2 linked regions of the Macaca fascicularis genome follow. The protein of the gene in region 2 purifies or fractionates together with the protein of the main gene of each other region. This does not show direct contact. Links are inferred from orthologs where the notes say so. Each region holds a gene or a part of one and is shown on either strand. Other genes may lie near its edges.

Evidence for each region. The genes of interacting proteins can lie anywhere in the genome.
Region 1: the proteins of SEM1 (region 2) and RAD23B purify together in Homo sapiens (co-immunoprecipitation; 3 studies listed by BioGRID and IntAct, with this or other methods). This does not show direct contact. The link is inferred for Macaca fascicularis from reciprocal best matches to the Homo sapiens genes SEM1 and RAD23B.

What each region holds. Positions count from the first base shown.
Region 1 is NC_088389.1:50,789,591-50,793,246, reverse strand, and holds part of RAD23B (UV excision repair protein RAD23 homolog B), read left to right. Parts: intron 1-3,362; coding exon 3,363-3,476; 3' UTR 3,477-3,656. UniProt on the Homo sapiens protein: Multiubiquitin chain receptor involved in modulation of proteasomal degradation. Binds to polyubiquitin chains.
Region 2 is NC_088377.1:124,618,150-124,621,905, forward strand, and holds the start of SEM1 (26S proteasome complex subunit SEM1), read left to right. Parts: upstream 1-954; 5' UTR 955-1,037; coding exon 1,038-1,113; intron 1,114-3,756. UniProt on the Homo sapiens protein: Component of the 26S proteasome, a multiprotein complex involved in the ATP-dependent degradation of ubiquitinated proteins.

The DNA.
Region 1 (3,656 bases), on a different chromosome or scaffold from region 2:
ATTTAATTGTGTTTATTGATCTTTTATCTTAAAACCTTCTTGAACTCTTATTTATTCATTAAGTAGTTTGTGCATGTGTTCATTAGGATTTTCCATATACAAGGTCATGTCATCTGCAGATAGAGACAGTTTTACTTCTTTTCTAATATGGATACCTTTTATTTCTTTGTCTTGTCTAATTGCCCTATCTGGAGCCTCCAGTATATTATTAGACTAGCAAGAACCAACAACATCCTTGTCTGGTTCTTGATCTTAGGGGAAAGCATTCAGTCTTTCATCACTAAGTATGATGTTATCTGTGGGTTTTTTGTGGATGCCCTTTATGAGATTGAAGAAATTCCCTTCTATTCCTAGTTTGTTCATCAGAAAAAGGTGTTGGATTTTGTCAAATGTTTTTTTCTTTTTTTATTAAGATAATCATGTGATTTTTGTCCTTTAGTATGCTTTTATTACATTGATTGGTTTTTGTATGTCGAACCAACCTTGCATTTCTGGGATAAATTTTACTGGTCATAACGTATGATCCTTTTTATACGTTGCTGGATTTAGCCTGCTTGTATTTTGTTGAGGATTTTTGCATCTGTTCATAAGTCATATTGGTCTGTAGTTTTTTTTGTGATGTCTTTGAATTTGGTGTCTGGGTAATACTGGCCTCTTAGAGTAAGTTGGGATTTATTCTCTCCTCTTCTGTTTTCTGGAAGTATTTATTAAGAATTGGTGTTAATTCTTTGAACAGTTGATAGAATTCATCAGTAGTCTGGGCCCGGGCTTTTCTTTTTGGGAAGTTTTGTGATTACTGATTCAGTCTCTTGTTACTTGTCTATTCTACTTTTCTGTTTCTTTTAGAGTCAGTTTTGGTGGTTTTTAACTTGGAATTTGTATATTTTATCTGAGTTGTCTAATTTGTTGGCATGCAGTTGTACATATTTCCTTATAATCATTTTCTTCTTTTGTTAAAGTAGTAATATTCCTGCATTTATTCCTGATTTTAGTAATTTGAGTCCTAAGATTTTTGTTTTTTCCCTTCAGTTTAGCTAAAGGTTTTAATTTTGTTGATTTTTTTTTTTTTAATGACAAAAATAACTTTGGGTTTTGTTGATTCTCCCTATTGTTTTTCTAGTCTTTTTTTTTTTTTTTTTTTTTTTTAAGTCTCTCTAATGTTTATTTCCTTCTTGCTTGCTTTTAGTTTGTTCTTCCATTTTTAGATTAGGTTTAGTTTAGATCTTCTTTGTTTAGTTTTAGATTAGATTATTATCTATCTTTGTTAGGATAGATGTTTATAGCTATAATATTCCTTCTGTGTTTATGCTATAGCAGCATTCCATAGGTTTTAGTATGTTGTTTTGCTTTCTTTAATCTCAAAATATTTTTCAATTTCCCTTTTGGTTTCTAATTTAATTCATTTGTTATTTAGGATTGTGTTAATTTCTACAAGTTTATGAATTTCCCACATCATCTCCTTTTCTAAATTCATTCCATTATAATCAGAGAATATACTTTCAATACTTTTCAACTTTTTGAGGTTCGTTTTGTGGCCTAACATGGTATTTCTGAAGAATGTTCTATGTATACTGAAGAAGAATATAATGTAGTTCTTATTGTGGTCTATAAATACCTGATAGATCTAGTTTGTAGTCAAGTCTTCTTCCTTAGCTGTTTTATCTATTATTGAAGGTGGGGCTATAGATTTCTCTAACTATTATTGTTAATTACCATTTCTACCTTTAATTCTCAGTTTTTATTTTATGTATTTTGTGGCTCTGTTATATATGTTTATAATTGTTGTGTCTTCCTGATCCTTTTTTATCATAAAATGCCTTTTGTTTATAGTAACAATTTTTATCTTAAATCTGTTTCATCTGATATAGTCATTCTAGCTCTTTTTTGGTTACCATTTGCATGGTATATACCTTTTTCGATCATTGTGTTTTTGAATCTTTAAATTGTGTGTTTTGTAGAAGCAGGCAGTTGGATTATACCCTTTACTTCACCTATCCTAGCTTTAATCTGGATAAAACCCAGATAACAAACGGATTTTTTAATTTCTTCTCCTTTCATAGATCAGTAGTTATTCGTGATGAATTTGGATTTTTGCCCAAATTTTAAGGGTCATTTCCGAATATAATCTAACAGCAGTCCTCAACCTTTTGGCACCAGGGACCAGTTTTGTAGAAGACCTTTTTTTCTACCAACAGAGGTGGAGTGGGCGCGGTGGTTTTGGGATGAAACTGTTCTACCTCCGATTATCAGGTATTAGTTAGGTTAGGAAGTGGGGCGGGGTGGTGGTTTGGGGCTGAAACTGTTCACCTCACATCATCAGGCATTTGTTAGGCTATCATACGGAGCACAGAACCCAGATCCCTCACATGCACAGTTCACAGTAAGGTTCATGCTCCTATGAGAATCTAATGCTGCCGCTGATACGAAAGGAGACGGAGCTCAGGTGGTAATTCGAGTGATGGGGAGCAGCTGTAAATACAGATGAAACTTCACTTGCTCACCCACTGCTCACCACCTCCTGGGCGGCCCAGTTCCTAACAGGCCAATGGGTGGTGCCAGTTTGCGGTCTGGGGATTTGGGACACATGATCTAACTCAAGGTGATTGAGACAATTGAGGAAGGTGACATTTGGCTGAGTTTTTAAAGGCTTTTAAAAGCAGTGAGTATTGTCACAAGTGGTTTTTAATAGACTAGGAAAATGAAATTAAGTAGCTAGTATTACCATTTAAAATGCTGTGATTGTTAAGCAGATAAAAATAGAACACTGTCTTTACTTCAAAATGTACCGTGTGTTATTACTACTAATTGGTCACCTAGTTTTCTAGTATGGAGTGTTGAATAAAGCAAGGAGATTGAGAGTGATGTTTGATCCAAATGAAAGACATTAGTTGGCATTAATAAATAAAACATTTGCTTTTAATTTACAAATAATTAGATGAGGTGGTTAAGCTATACTCCAGGTACTCTCATCCTTATCTTCACTCTTAATATACTAAAAACCATTTGATTTACACATTTCTGTAGTCATTTATTTTTAAACCATAGCAATTAGCAACTAATGTTTAATTAGGCCAAAGAGTATTTGCATAGTATCTCTTAAGCTTTAACTAGAAAACAAAGACTTTTTTAGGCGATTAGTAAAGGAAAGGGTCTAGATTCCATCAAACCGCTTGGGTTGGGCAGTAAATCCATATTCAGATAGAGATGAATTCATGTAAAATTCTCAAAAGCTTTTTTGGGTTGCAGTATGTTTTTGAGTAATGATCTGTCTTTAGTGCTATGCTGGAATCTGTAATATGTAAGTAAATTAAATGTGCCATAATTGGTGTGTTGGATTTATATTTTTTTCCTTTTTCTTCCAGTTAAAGGCATTAGGATTTCCTGAAGGACTTGTGATACAAGCATATTTTGCTTGTGAGAAGAATGAGAATTTGGCTGCCAATTTTCTTCTACAGCAGAACTTTGATGAAGATTGAAAGGGACTTTTTTATATCTCACACTTCACACCAGTGCATTACACTAACTTGTTCACTGGATTGTCTGGGATGACTTGGGCTCATATCCACAATACTTGGTATAAGGTAGTAGATTGTTGGGGGTGGGGAGGGAGGGATCTAGGATATAGGGCAGGGATAAATACAGTGCATGTCTGCTTC
Region 2 (3,756 bases):
CTGAGTAGAATATGAGCTTCTTGAAGAAAGGGACTTTGTCTATACATGTTTGATACACAGCTCCTGGTAAGCGGTATGACCTAACATTGTTAAATAAAGGAATGGGATTTATAGATATAATCTGGAACATGTATCAAAATTTACAATAATACCCAATTTGTGTATTATGTATATTCTATAATATTCATCCATATACATCCATATATTATATATAGAGTTCCATGAAGTTCACTACTGTATTCAGAATGATATTCAAATGCTATTCAATTTTAAATGATATATTTTTAGCACCATAAAATGTTACACAAATCCATATTTAAATAGTATTATTGTATAATAACCTGTAAACTAGAGTTACTACACACACATACACACCACACAAATTCTATTTAAAAAGCTATTTACCACAAAGTAATTCTAAGACTTGATTAACACTGCCTAATGGAAAAGTCTGGAGATTGGAGCCAGGCAAAAAAAAATCTGCATTTTGGTTGTCTAGCACTACCTGAGTAATTTCCGTTGCTTCTTTCTGAACGTGAATTTTCTGTGATGTGGAGACATTTAATACCATCCTTAGTGAACTGGCTTAAGGACTGGAGGTAATAATGTATGTGAAGGGCTGATGAATGCTTGTAGTCAGACTGTAGTCTCTCTAGAGTTCCTTCCTCGCTTGCAAACTAAGTAAAGGCTTTTTTGTTTGTTTTACACATTATGAGTCTTTTATAGTCAGGAAAACTACACGGATCCCAACTTTGGCAATTCAGAGAGTCCGATTAACGTGGTAGAGACAAAAATATATATATATATATTTAATAAATATATATATAAAAAACTCGGAAAACGCGCTAAACCCGCAGGGAGCGCTGGGCCGACCTCCAGTATCCCAGCATTCCTCGCGCTGCTCCCGTAGTTCCTTCTCCGAGTCTCTATGGTAGCGTCAGCCTCGGAGGCGGCAGTGACGGTGGCGTTTCCTTGAGGAAGAGTGAGGGTTCCAACTTTCCTGCTGATCTGGGAGGTGTTGGGCGCGGAGGGTCGAGATGTCAGAGAAAAAGCAACCCGTAGACTTAGGTCTCTTAGAGGAAGACGACGAGTTTGAAGAGTTCCCGGCCGAAGGTAACCGCTGTGCCCCGGTTTCTGTGCCGCGCGAACGGTGACTCAGGCCTCCGTGTGGAGGTGGTTTGGTCGGTCGGGCCCAGCTGGGGGCACCGGCGGGAAGTTTGGACTCCCAGGGCCGGCACTCGAGGCGCTAACGCTCATCCCTCAGTGGCGCCCCAGCGTCGGGTTTGGGGTGTCGCGCTGGGACTCATTGGCGAGGCCCAATGGCCTCAGCTTCCGTACTGGGAGGAGCCACCGTGAGTCTGGACCCATAGCCCCGCGTCTGGGATGGTTGGTCCCTTTACTGTTCCTCTGGGTTACTCACCACTTAAACTTTAGTTCAAGTCTACATAACTTCCTTTTATTTTTCTTTTCTTTTCTTTTCTAGAATTTCTTTTCTTTTCTTTTCTTTTTGTTTTAACAGTCTTTCTTTGCCTTTAAACCTTTCCAGAATTGAATTGTCTGTAGTTACGCCAATGCTGCTTAACTTTTAGGATGTTACAAATGAAGCCTGATTAAGTAAGACAGAAGGGTAAGATATTGGGTGCTTAATACACATTATTGCCTTACTCCTGTTCCTCACCATTTTTGTCACTTAACTGTGACCTAACTTAATGCTTTATAAGACCCTACAACTTGACGGGTATGGTGGCTCAGGCCTGTAATCCCAGCAGTTTGGGAGGCCGAGGTAGGAGGATCACATGAGGTCAGGAGTTCAAGACCAGCCTGGGCAACATAGCGAGACCCTGTCCCTACAAAAATAAAATATATATTTTTAAAAATATATTTTTTCAATTAAAAATACACTTTTTTTTTTTTTTTTAGTTTCAAAACTAAAGACCTTTAGTTTTTTTGTTGTAGGTAATAGCAAATTGCTAACATTTCTTGAGTGGCTGCTGTTTTCAGGAACTTGTCTAAGTGCTTTACTTGTAATAGCATATTCCACTTTCATAAATTCCACTAGGGCCTACTTCCTGTATGCCCTAGACCATTCTTTAGATAAACTGAAGCTCAGAGTGAAACGTTCCTGATGTCTCATAACTAGTTAGAAACAATAGAAGTGGAATTGGGACACCTGTTCTGATTGACACCAAAGTTCTTAACTTTAGCTGTACTGCTTCTGTTTGTGAGATTGCTGTTACCAGTTGGGTTTTCAAAATAGGCTGCTTTATTGACTAATGGTTGATGAGTAGGACTTGTAAATATTTACCTTATAAGAAAAGGAGATTACTTTCTGAAGGTGGTAGAAAGAGAATTGTGGTTAATGGGGTACACATCCTGCTGCATCAAGCAATTACTACTTCACTAAAATTGTCCCAAGTTGTATACCCTATCATGATCCTATTGTACGTAAAACCACATAGCTGGAACATTTGTTCTATTTATAATGTACTGTTACTTTGTTTAGTGGAAGAGAACATTAGTGTACATGCTACAGAAACTCGTAAACTAACCCAAAGCACATTTCTTTTCAGTTCTGGAATTCATTATGTATTGTAGGCATTCTTAGTTTTTTGTTTTGGTAATGGATTTATCTGTTCAGTCATGTTTTCTTTAGCTCACTTTCAAGTTGCGTCATAATCTGCCAACATAGAGCTGTGTCATAGAAAGCTGGCCTATTGAAGGTAGGATCTTCTTACTCAAACTTCATACTTCAAATAACATTGTTCATTATCATATACAGGGTGGAATGTTAGGCACTTTATTTACATTATATAATCTAGTTATCACTATCACCCTGAGAATATGGAGGCTCAGAGACAAAAAGAAAAACAAATAAACAAAACTTGCCATTATGTCCAAGCCAGAATCTGAAAGGTCTGTCTCTCTGATCCAAACTTTATCCGCAGTATTTAGCAGAGTGCCTAATACATAGTAGGTGGTCAGTAAATGCTTGTTGAATGAATGATGAATGAACCCGCATTTAAAATGAGTAGTTAGTTGATAATTGACTGCTTAAAAACGATCTAGAGATAACTATGTACCTGATGGTACACTTGATTTTTTTCAGCAACTTTCATCAGCTTTTGCTAGTGTAGTTTGTGCTTGTTCTAAGTTTATGCTGTGAGCAGCAATTTTTCGAAGTGCCAGTAGTTACATAGTAAAACAAAACAAAAAGGTAAAAGGAAAAGCAAAGAAAATATTCTAAGGACAAAAGACTCACAACAGACTGGTTTATTAACATTAAGTTATTGACCATTTATGGGTCTCCTTACAGAATGTTTGTTGTCTTCAGATATAAATGTGTAGAATTAATTCATTCAGGAAACTTTCCATTTTAGAATGAGAAACATTTTTAATGTCTATTTTGTTCAAGTTTCTCTTCTCTGGTTTATGATTTGGAGAGGTTTTTCTTAAGTTAGTGAGAAAATCAGCCCACAAGGTGAAACCACTCAATATTTACTCATGAAAATTGTTCTGATGAATAACAAAACCTAAAGAAGAACAAACTTGGGAAAATATCACCAAATAATTATTCCTTTTCTGAGAATCTGCATTTCTGACATGTTTTGGTCTAGTCAAGATTTAGAGTCTGTTGCTATTCAAAATGTGATCCATGAAACAGCAGACTTGGCATTGCCTGGGAGCCTGTTAAAACTGCAGCATCTCATCGTTCCTCAAACCTAGACCTACTTAATAAGTGTGGGCTTTACCAAGATT